Caenorhabditis elegans: one gene and its partner. The protein of the gene in region 2 purifies or fractionates together with the protein of the main gene of each other region. This does not show direct contact. Each region holds a gene or a part of one and is shown on either strand. Other genes may lie near its edges.

Region 1 (6,059 bases), on a different chromosome or scaffold from region 2:
AAATACTTACGATGCTCTTTTTGATTTTGAATATTTTGAAGAATATTCTCGAGTAGAAGATCAACGATTCCCCTAGAAAGCTTGTTATTTTAAAGTAGTGGAATGTTTTAATACTCACTGAAATTTTTTCACGAGGTCCTCATTTTGAATAATTGACTTATAGACAACTGCAGCTTCACAGTGAAGGTCTAGGTTTGATTTTTCAATTTTCAAACATTTTTGAATTGCTGGTAGCATTTTTAGAAGGCACTTTTCTCCGTCGGAGGTGTCCAGAATGTCAGGAAATGTGCGAATTGATGTGAGCTTTTGAATTTCAGTTCCGTCTCTGAAAATTTTATGGTATGAACGATTTCCTTTTTTACAAAATGTCGAAAAATCAATTTTGATTTTTTAATTAATAAATCTTACTCTAAATTGATTAGAGCCTGATCCAATGGTGATCTTAGCAATTCCTCAAGATCTGGATCTTCTGCCATTTTGAATAGTTTTTCGAAATCCAACTTCATTACAGGAGGTTCTTTTTCTTCTGTCTCGTCATCTTCAATTTGATCATGCTGGAAAACAAAACGAATTCTATAAAATCTTTTCTGAAGAAATTTTGGTGTGAAAGCCGTTTTAAGTAGGCAACTACTGCAAAAATTTAGTATATTTTCCAATGCCTAATTTCATTACTCATTACTCATTTTCACAATCAAAAACTTAAATTTCTAAATCTCGTTTTTTATCATTACAATTATGCCTTACTTTAATATCAACTATAGATTCTCCATCCATTTCTGTGGCAGCGACCATTGAAATGTTGGAAAATGTGATTAGAATATCTGAAATTTTTCGAAAATCAATTTACAATAAGATGAGACAAAGAGCAACACGAGAGAGAGATAAGATAAACGAAAAAAGAAAAGAGTCAACAGTTTGAACGTCCCGCCTTTTTTTCGCATGATCCATCAAGAGGTAGGGGCAGCTCTTTAGATGCATTTTTGTTCGGCAAACAAATGAAACACATTTTCAAAATGGTTTGCGTTGGGCAAGAAAGTTTGAAAGTGTGGTTAGATATGACGAGTGATCTAGAATGATGCAGAAACAACATGATTCTTCAATAATACAAACTCTTTTTGCTTTGGAATGTAGAGGAGGTGGAGGAGAAGCAGGAAGAGGCAGCTGTGACTCCCGGGCGATGAGCAACTATCTCTATCCTCTCGAAACATTCAAAATGATTGGTGAGACGCAGACATCAAGTCGGTGTGTAAAGATATTCGGCCAAGAGGATCGGGATCGAAGGGCACGCTTGTGATCCAGTGTGAGAAGTTAAAAGCGAGGGAGGAGATGAAGAAATGAAGACGAAAAAGCTCAAAGGATGAAGCTGAAGAAAAAAAAGATAGAGAAAGATAGTGTTCACAGCAAAAACAGACACTGAAACCGGAGAGCTTCAAAGATCACGAGACATCACAAATTTGAGTTGACCTGTAATTGAATCCAACTCGATTTCGAAAAACCTGAGCAGTTTTCTTATTTTTATCAATAAAATGTGCAATTGTTCAAAACATTTCAAAATGTGCAATAAACTCGTGTGATCTGGAAAGTGTTCTTCACGAATCAGTACTTTCCGAATTCTCAAGGTATCTCCAGGCATACAAGTGAATTGGCTGAAAAACTCATTTATAGATTTGGGTAAAGAAAAATGTGAGGAGATTTCAGACGAAGCTAGGCGAAATTCAAGGAATAAGATGTAGAAGCTAAATTTGAAAATGTTCAGAAGTTAATATCTCAAAGCTTTATTATTTTTCCAAAGTTAACACAAACCAATGAACTTTTAAATATTAATTTCTAAATTTATTCATCGTATCAATTTCTGTAGACGTGAAATGCTATTTTCATGGAAATGAAACTAGAAAAAAAATTTATTCCGAAGTCTAAACTTCTCTGGATCTGCTCGTTGTTCGAGGTAAAGTTCAAATTAAACTCTCTTGAAGTTGGTAATCTTTCTCGATTTGTATTGTTTTGAGTAAGATAAGTTGGTAGTCCTTAAATTTTCTAGTTTCATTATTTGGTAGACAATTTTGAAAAATGTTTTAATGTTTTTTTGTAGCCATCTGACTAATTCCACGTCATTGATTAGACCACTTTAGTTCCCATTATAGCTTATTGTTCGCACTTTATTAAAATTTTAACTGATTTTTAAACTGTGTATTTAAAAAATTCCACTAGTTTTTTTCGGATGATCTCCTAAATCTTGAAACGTTATTTTCTAGATTAACGGAAATGTGCCAATGAACTATCCATAAAAATTATGCTCAAACCAAATTGCAAAAAAGTGTTGTTTTCCACTCAATTTCCATAAACTATAAAATAACCACGAGGTTTTCCCCAGTGCACTTTCAAGTGTTTCTTTGAACTCTTCTCTAAAAATTGACCGATCTCTGGGTGTCTTCTCGTTATCATTTATACCATCGACTGGTCATTTATACATTGTGATAAAATAGCCCCTCAGTCAGTCAGTCAGTCAGTGAAAATGAAAGAACAATGTACTTTGAGGAGTCACAGAGATATTTGCCGCCTGCAGGACAACCTCCTCAAGTTTTCTTCTCTACCTCAATATTCTTCCTCAATTGATTTAATTTCGAAGATATGATTTCAACGCGATTTCTAAGACCTTCAGTCTCGATTTTTGGATTTGGAATTAAGGTGAGTTCAATTGGTTCAAAAATAATAGGTTTATTGAGTACACAAATTGGAACCGCCTCTGAGAGTTTATTGTCATCATACATCAACATATGTGTTATCATTGATGAAACTGTTCATTGATACAATCTTTTTAGTTACTGCAATTATTTTATATTTATATGCCATTGTTCATTAAAAAAAGTTTTTGAAGGTTTTTTCCTTAAAAAAAATTATCTAACAGCATGAAAATTATGTCTTTCGAGTTCAAACTCTAAAATCATGTACTTGATTTTTACAGTATTTGGTGAAAAAAAAACCCACTTTGATTTATGGAAAATTTCTAACCATCTAGTATGCCGTTTGGCATTCGACCCTTCAACCCTTCTCCCCTAGACATCAAACCAATTCTTGACCATTTGGACACACCGTTCAATCTCCTCTTGACCAATTGGTTTCTCTGTGTCTCTACTCCATTCTACATGCAAATAGAGCGCATTTCATATTAGTTCCATGTCAGTACTGCGAAATGGAAAACATTTTAGTTAAATTTAAGATCAGTTTTTCGTTAATGTTTTGTTTTTAATAACATTTGTTTTGAGAACCACGTGTTGAACGACCTTTTAGTTATTATATTCTCAAATTATCACTTCCAAATCGATTACCATGTTCTTCGAGTATTTATGTATTTTACTTTTTTTCCAGTCATCAATGTCGTCTCGTGCTCCACCAAAAGCTCTTCTGCAAGATATGGTTGTCCCACCGCGGCAACTTTTTGGACCAGGACCATCGAACATGGCTGATTCGATTGCTGAGACCCAATCTCGCAATTTGTTAGGACACTTGCATCCAGAATTTGTTCAGGTATCTTTTTATGTTTTGTTGGAAAAATAGTAAATCGAAAACTAATTCATAAAGCTTTAATTTCAGATTATGGCAGATGTTCGTCTGGGTCTTCAGTATGTCTTCAAAACCGACAATAAGTATACGTTTGCTGTCAGTGGAACTGGTTAGTGTGCATATATCAACTTTCTCAATATCAAATCTAATATTCAGGTCATTCTGGAATGGAATGCGCGATGGTTAATCTTCTCGAGCCCGGGGACAAATTCCTTGTAGTAGAAATTGGACTTTGGGGACAAAGAGCTGCTGATTTGGCTAATAGGTTTTTAAAATCAATATTCTTGTTACAAATTAAAAATTGATAGAATGGGAATCGAAGTTAAGAAGATTACTGCTCCGCAGGGGCAAGCAGTTCCAGTTGAGGATATCAGAAAGGCAATTGCTGATTACAAACCAAATTTGGTTTTTGTCTGTCAGGGAGATAGTTCAACGGGAGTTGCTCAACCATTGGAAACAATTGGAGATGCTTGCAGAGAGCATGGTGCTCTGTTCCTTGTTGATACGGTTTGTGGTTTTTTTTAACTTTCTCGATCCTCACCATTTATTTATAAATCTTACAATGTTTCAAAAATTAACGGTTTTGTTTCTGAAAAGTTTAAGGTGTTTTTTAATGTAGTAAAATTGAAATTTGCCGAACGAGTCTCAAAATTGAAAATAGATGTTTAATGATCAAAGTTTTCATTTTCAGGTGGCGTCCCTCGGTGGAACTCCATTTGCAGCAGATGATCTGAAAGTTGATTGTGTCTATTCGGCAACCCAGAAAGTTCTCAACGCTCCACCAGGACTTGCGCCTATCTCATTCTCCGATCGAGCCATGTAAGAATAAGAAACAAAACACATATAGTTGCATTCCTCTTCATTTTTAGGGAAAAAATCCGGAACCGAAAACAACGCGTCGCCTCGTTCTACTTTGATGCCATCGAATTGGGCAACTATTGGGGTTGTGATGGAGAATTGAAAAGGTTGGAAAAAACTATGAAATGATGAAATTTATTGAAAAATTTCAGATATCACCACACTGCTCCAATCTCCACTGTATATGCTCTTCGTGCAGCACTTTCTGCAATTGCAAAAGAAGGAATTGATGAATCAATCCAAAGACATAAAGATAATGCTCAAGTGTTGTATGCTACTCTGAAAAAGCATGGATTGGAACCATTTGTAGTGGATGAGAAATTGAGATTGCCATGTTTGACTACTGTGAAAGTACCGGAGGGTGTTGACTGGAAAGATGTTGCTGGAAAAATGATGACAAATGGAACGGAGGTAAATTCGAAAATCCACCAATTTGAAGTTTGAAAACCGTAACTTGTTTTAATTTTAGATTGCTGGAGGACTTGGTGCAACTGTTGGTAAAATCTGGAGAATCGGAACGTTTGGAATTAACTCGAATTCGACAAAAATCGAAAATGTTGTGGAACTTTTGTCGAAATCAATTGGAGAGAAAAGGTCAAAAATTTAATTGATCCGTTTCCTTATCAAATTATTTATATTTTCAGCAAGTAGATCCATCAGTCGTAGATCCATCAATTTGTGATTTCATGCTAATTTATGATTTATTGTAATTTCGTATGCGTTTTGTATGAACATTTTAAATTTATTTAATGTTTTTATGGGTTTTAATTTGAATGAACAAAAAACAAGAATTTCTATTTACATGATAAAAATAGAAGAAGCGAAGGAAAAACAGTCGATGACCGGGGGAATAATCAATTACTGAAAGACCATCAAGAAAGAAGAACAGAAAAATTTCAACTAATCTAAAAGAAATGTAAAGCAAATGAAAGAGGAGCTAACAAATGAAAAAGTGAATGGCGGAATGAAATGAAACAATTTAAGAAATGAATGAGACTACTCGTAATGAATTCGGGTTGACAAGGAAATGATCACCCACTATTTACCTCAAATGTCCCGTGCCTGATGAAAATGAATTTTTGAGTCAAAAATTAAAACAATTAGAAATTAAGCCTTATCGGAAGGCTTTAATTGAATTTCCGAATCTGTTGGTGGACTCGGTTTGAGTGTAGTTTTTGGTGGAGAGGCAAGCAATAACCTTTCGATATTCAGAGCTGGAAGTTCACTGACCATTGTGCATATTATGGCAAAGAAATATGTAATGAGAAGTTGAACAAAACAATGAATGAAGAGTGGAATTTGAGTATTGAAATATATTGGGAAGGGAACGAGCATGTAAGTGAGTACCACTGGAATCATGTGGAACAAGTAGGCCTGAAAATATTTTATTTTTATAAAGCCAATATTTTGCCTTTTCAATTTTCGAAGCACATATTTTCATTCATTTGTCAAAGTGGTACTTGTAATTTGAAAGATTTCAGGTTGAATAAACTGTAAAATAATTTGGTTTTTCTAATAACCAAGTATTTCTCTTCATCAAAACAAAACATTAAAACACTTCCTATTCTATCAAAATAAAATAATTAAACGTAAACATTGTAGTGATACAAGGAAGTAAGGTTCTATGAAAGATTTAATTT
Region 2 (5,604 bases):
GCCATCCCTAAAAGTGATCGAAATTTATAAAATAATCTCTCCGTAAAATTGAAACGCTGGAAAACCGGTCGGGTTACGTGGAAATCGAATTTGAACACATTTAATAGAAAAAGGGGCAAGATTGTCACTACTGACGCATCGATTGCAGTTTCTCTGCGTCTCGTCTCTCTTTCACTCACTTTAAAAGATGAGAATAGACTCATTCTCGTTTATTTTGGCTTTGTTTTTCCTAGTTTCTCTGGTTTCTCAATGAATTTATATAAATCTTACCGAAAATAGTGAAATGCGATAGAACTGAAACATAATAATGTTTTATCAAATTACTAGAGCTTCAGTTTACATTTAGTTTTTCAGAATGTCTAGAAATGATCTGGTATTTAATGAAAAACATTGAAAGAGACAAAGAAAAATATATTCGAAAATGATTCAAAAGAATTTTAAAAACCAGTGACTGTACTTCTCGTGCCGATGCCCATCACTTTGGTCGCATCTGCGCCTTTAAAATCTACAGTACCCTTGCTCAAAATTCTTCGATAATTTTTTTAGCTCTCACTATTTAGTCAGCACTTTTCCTTTTTTTCCATATCTTTTAATGATTTTTCTCCTCGTATATATTAAATTCCTTCTATTTTTGATCGTTTGATCACAATAATGCTTCTGGAATGTCAGTCACAAAATAGTACACCTTCGAAAACGCGATAAAGGTGGGAAATTCCGTGATGACAACATTTTTTGGCTCGCAAATCAAGTTCTGCACAGCCCCGCGTGTAAGTGTGAATATTTGTGTGTATGTCTTACACCTGATAACACATTTCTCTGAAAACTGACGACCTAATCGCCTCCGGCCTGAACCAACATGCCCTATGGTGTCGAATGATGCAAAGCGCTCGAAAATTTATAGTTTCGAACTTTCATATTCCCATTTCTAATTCAAAAAATTTGCGGAATTTTTTCCCATACTCATTTTATAGAAAAAGACCAGAACGTCAACCAGTCTTCCGCTAAAATGTGTATAAACGGGTCAGTGTTTATCAATAGACAGCCCGAAAACTCACTCGACCAATACTGCTTTTTTCGAGATTTCTAAGCGGAAAATGGAAATCGATTTGTTGTCATGTGATGTTTGCTGCGAAACGTTCGCGAAAATTAATTGTTTCCGTTTCTATCAAAAGAACAAAATTCAATGTATCCGTTTCTATAATTACAAAAGAACGCATTGTTACAGAATAGGTTTTTTTGTCAATTTTGTATGCTTTGCAATCTTTTTGCGCTCAAATTTCTGATCATTTTACTGTGAGACCATTCTCTGATTCTTCCGCAAAATAAAAATTTCGACATCGACCTCGACGTTTATTTAAATAAGTTCTAATATCATTATTTTCATGACGTGTGCTCAGGTTTTCCTTGAAATCTAATTATAAGTCACATATTTCTCTAATTTCCTCTGGAAAAGTCTCGAAATTTGGCGCCATCAGGAAACCTACGTCAATTTCATTTTCTCCGAATCTCCGCCCACTTTCTATCATTTATAGCGACTAGTCGCTCCAAAAGTTTCAGTGTCTGCCGGTGATTTCAGTGCTCTCCCATGCTTGTACAAACACGCAATAAATTATAAATCAAATTAGCAGACAGCCGACTTGACGGCGTTTATCAGCCTGTCAGTCAGCCAGCTGAGAGAGTAGATGACATCGCAGATGTGTCCCTCCTTTTCCTTGTTTCAACATATGCTACTGATAAGCGTTAATTAAAGACGCACATCGTTTTTCATTTAATGATTTTTATTCCAGAATTGCGTGCACATGACTGAATTGAACTCTTTTCGTTCAATGAGCGCAGTATTTTCTATTTATGGCTTTATCGAAAAGAACTAGCCTGCCATCTCTTTTGCTCCTACAAACTTCATAACCACTTCTCTTCAAACCTTGAAACTCAATTTCTTATATATCCTCCTTCTTCCCGCCTTCATATTTCTCATTTTATTTATATCGCTTTCAGGGTATATTTCCTTTTCAATGTCACTTCAATCCCTCCTATCTACAAAAATAGTCCGCGCGACATCAATCGCCGACGCCGCTTTTGATGCTGTCGTGCTCGTCGGAAGTCAGGACAATGTTCAACAGTTCGGAGCGATCCAACAGGTCTCCGCAATCGCTCCAGCCGTTAACAATTTCTTAAAGGTTCGCCCTTTTCTCAATAATCTCTAATAATACCCTAATCTTCCTTTTCAGCTACACTCTGGTGCGTTCAACTCAACGTCTCTCGTTCAAGTCGACTCATCTGTCGTTCCATCTGGACGACTGATTCTATCAGGAACTGGAAATGTGTCACGTGACTATGATGATGTCCGTCGTTACCAGGCTGCTGCTCGGAAGGGAATTTCTATGTTAGTACTAATGTGCATCCAACATCATTTTGAAGCGTATTAATTAAATGACTACACCGTTTAAGCAAATAATAGAACAATTGGCTTAGATGATTTTAATTCTAAGAGCGCGCTAATTTATTAATTCTCGTAGTACTTGGAGAAAAAATGATAAGACTTTATGGAAGACAGTTATCAGAAAACGTGCGGAGGAAAGCATAGATCAGCATAACTGATTGTGGGGGCGAACTGCGTCATTTCCGTGAATAACACCATAGGTGCGGTTTGAACGTTGGTCTAGAATAACTGTCATATCTAATGATGTCAGTTTATAATTATTATCTATTTTCAGGGCTCTTTCTGCTGGTGTTAAATCTCCACTTCTCATCACACTTCCAAATTCTCGCTTCCCAAATGCCGAACTTGTTGCCGCACTCGGAGCTCTTACCCCAGTATACACTCCACTCAATGTTCGTGAAGAGGAGAACAAGCAGAAGTTGAATCAATTGGGATTATTGGCTGTAAGTTTCGAAATTTTCAGTTTTGGTAGAACAAATTTCAATTAATATATTTTTTCAGATCGGAAACAGTGACACATCTGCCCGTTTGGAAAAGCTTGTTGAAGCTTACGATGCTTCGTTCACAGTGTGCCGTGATGTTGGAGAGGCTGGACCAGAACGCATGGCTCCACCACGTGTAGCTGAGTATATCCAAGGTGCATTTGCAAATGGAAACATTAAAGTAACAGTCGTCGACGATCAGAGTGTCATTTTGAAAGATTTCCCATTGATGGCTGCTGTCAATAGAGCCGCCAATTGTGTCAAGGAGCATCAGGCTCGTCTTATTCGATTGGAATATGTTGGTGAAGGAGAGACTCAGGATACATTCTTCGTTGTTGGAAAGGGAGTTACCATTGATACTGGAGGCTGTGACTTGAAGACTGGAGGACACATGTTCGGAATGTGCCGTGACAAGTACGGATCTGCAGTTGTCGGTGGATTCTTCAAGGCTATCGATGTTCTGAAACCAAAGAACATTAAGGCTGTCGGGTACATGTGCATGGTTCGCAACAGTATTGGATCTCATGCTTATACTTGTGATGAGGTTATCACTTCCAGAAGTGGAAAGAGAATTCACATTTATAACACTGATGCTGAAGGAAGACTTACAATGCTTGACCCCCTCACTCTTGCCAAGGAAGAAGCTTTGAATGCTAAAAATCCGCATTTGTTCACTGTTGCCACATTGACCGGACACGAAGTTCTTTCATACGGATATTACGCAGCTATTATGGATAATGGTCCAGCTAAAGCAAGTGGATGGGCTCGTCGTGTGCAGAATGTCGGAGATGAATTTGGACAACCAATTGAGATCAGCAGACTTCATCCAGAGGATTTCGCTTTCCATATGGCCGAATGTGAACAGGCTGATCTTCGGCAGGGAAATACAAAGCCATCAGTTGCTACCCTCAGAGGTCATCAGACGCCAGCTGCATTCTTGCAAATGGTACGTTCTCAATTATGAAATTTGTCGTTTAAGTAAAATTTAAAAATTACTCAGAAAGCCAAAAAATATGAAATATGAATTTTCGTCCTTAAATTATAAACTAACAATTTCATTGATCAATTTTCTGTCTCTGGAATAAAATTTGAAACAATTTTTCAGGCTAGCCGCATTGACGAACATGGCACAAACAGTTCTCACCCATTGAAGTATTCTCATATCGACATGGGAGGATGTTCAGGAGATCATCCATCAGTTAGCTTCCCTAATCCACTTGTCACCCTTGTCGCCGGCCTTGTGCTTCCTCACGTTTAGAAATTTCCCGATTTTTCGTTAACCATTTTCTAATGCTCTCCCTACTCATTTTGGTGCTGTGCACCGATGTTTTCTGCCAGGCACACATATTTAGTTCAATACCGTATCTTTCAATTCCATACTGAAAAAGATATGATATCATATCTCTCTCTCTCTCTCTTTTATTTTAATTGCATCCCAACTTTATTTAGCCCTTATACAGGGAACCAGAGCTTGTTTCTTATCATTCGCCCCCGGAATCCTTCCTCCATTCTCACATGTAAAATAAATACGTTTGTCCAGAAAATCACAAACAACATGCACAACTGAATAGTTCCGGCTGAACAAAAGACTGGATTAGAAGTATAAATATCCAAATAGAGAAAAAAACTTATCAAACTTTTAGTTGTGTGTCCACTTCTTGTTTTATTATAGGCTCTTTGTCTTTTTTGTTTCTTATCTTTGTGCCGATAAAGAACTGAAACCAAAAGTGTCAATGGACTGTCAAAAACCACTTTTCAAGACCTTGTTTAGTGGCTCCACTTTGAATAAATAGCTGAAATTCCGAGTTTGTATTTTTTTCAAGAATTCAAAATTTTGTTATATTTACAGCTTTAGGGTGTGTAAGTGTTGACATTTCAAAACTTGTGCGAGAATTCTCAAGAGAATTTTAATTTTTTTTGTAGTTATTGCATTATAGTTTCAACGATTTTGGCATACTTTCTTAAAGGCGCACAGAGTTATTCAGATAGGTCTCGATGAGCAAAAAAGTTTATGGTAGTTTCTTTTAAAATGTTTATTTTGAAAAATTATTTAAAACAGTTTTAACAAAAGTAAAGAAAGGCATAAAATTCACCTTAAAAAACTTTATGCTTCAGATCGAGCTGAACATTATAATATGATCAATTCCAAGCCATATAAAAATGAAAATCCTAAGAGAAGAAATGAAAAAAACTTTAAAATTTACGACCAACCTTCGAACCTATCACCTCACCCATCAAAAAACAGGTTTATCTATCAATTTTCAATTTTAACACAGAGATCCCAAACCATTCACATGTTCTTCTTATTCAAGTCAGACCACCTCAATGGGTGTTACACTTTAGATTGTCCTTTTTATCTTTATAACCTTGTTCTCTTTTTGTATTCTTTATATCATTCGGCAACGAACGAATATTTTGCTCTCTTTTATTAATTTTGCGTTTTTTTCGCTAAAAATACGGTACACGGTCTCGAAACGACACATTTTTGTTAAATAAAAATTGTGTGCACCTTTAAAGAGTACTGTAATTTCAAATTTTTTTTTCCACTTAATTTTCATCGATTTTGCATAGTTTTTCAATAAAATTGTATTTATTCGATAAGAATAACGCAAAAAATGAGTTTGAAATTACAGTTCTCTTTAAAGGAGCACACCTTTTTGTTATAATAAAATTGTGTCGTGT

What was found.
Region 1: the proteins of lap-2 (region 2) and agxt-1 fractionate together in Caenorhabditis elegans (co-fractionation; one large-scale study listed by BioGRID). This does not show direct contact.

What each region holds. Positions count from the first base shown.
Region 1 is NC_003280.10:8,843,695-8,849,753, forward strand, and holds agxt-1 (Alanine--glyoxylate aminotransferase), read left to right. Parts: upstream 1-1,903; 5' UTR 1,904-1,945; intron 1,946-2,535; 5' UTR 2,536-2,628; coding exon 2,629-2,685; intron 2,686-3,366; coding exon 3,367-3,525; intron 3,526-3,591; coding exon 3,592-3,670; intron 3,671-3,717; coding exon 3,718-3,826; intron 3,827-3,869; coding exon 3,870-4,068; intron 4,069-4,252; coding exon 4,253-4,380; intron 4,381-4,430; coding exon 4,431-4,526; intron 4,527-4,571; coding exon 4,572-4,830; intron 4,831-4,888; coding exon 4,889-5,013; intron 5,014-5,063; coding exon 5,064-5,070; 3' UTR 5,071-5,208; downstream 5,209-6,059. Other genes in the region: F46C5.6 (Serine/threonine-protein phosphatase 4 regulatory subunit 4), read right to left, coding at 11-72, 119-325, 409-554, 745-792; oac-46 (Acyltransferase 3 domain-containing protein), read right to left, coding at 5,527-5,793.
Region 2 is NC_003283.11:13,041,717-13,047,320, forward strand, and holds lap-2 (Putative aminopeptidase W07G4.4), read left to right. Parts: upstream 1-1,995; 5' UTR 1,996-2,012; coding exon 2,013-2,177; intron 2,178-2,228; coding exon 2,229-2,383; intron 2,384-2,714; coding exon 2,715-2,883; intron 2,884-2,941; coding exon 2,942-3,868; intron 3,869-4,027; coding exon 4,028-4,180; 3' UTR 4,181-4,725; downstream 4,726-5,604. Other genes in the region: scyl-1 (Protein kinase domain-containing protein), read right to left, coding at 1-5.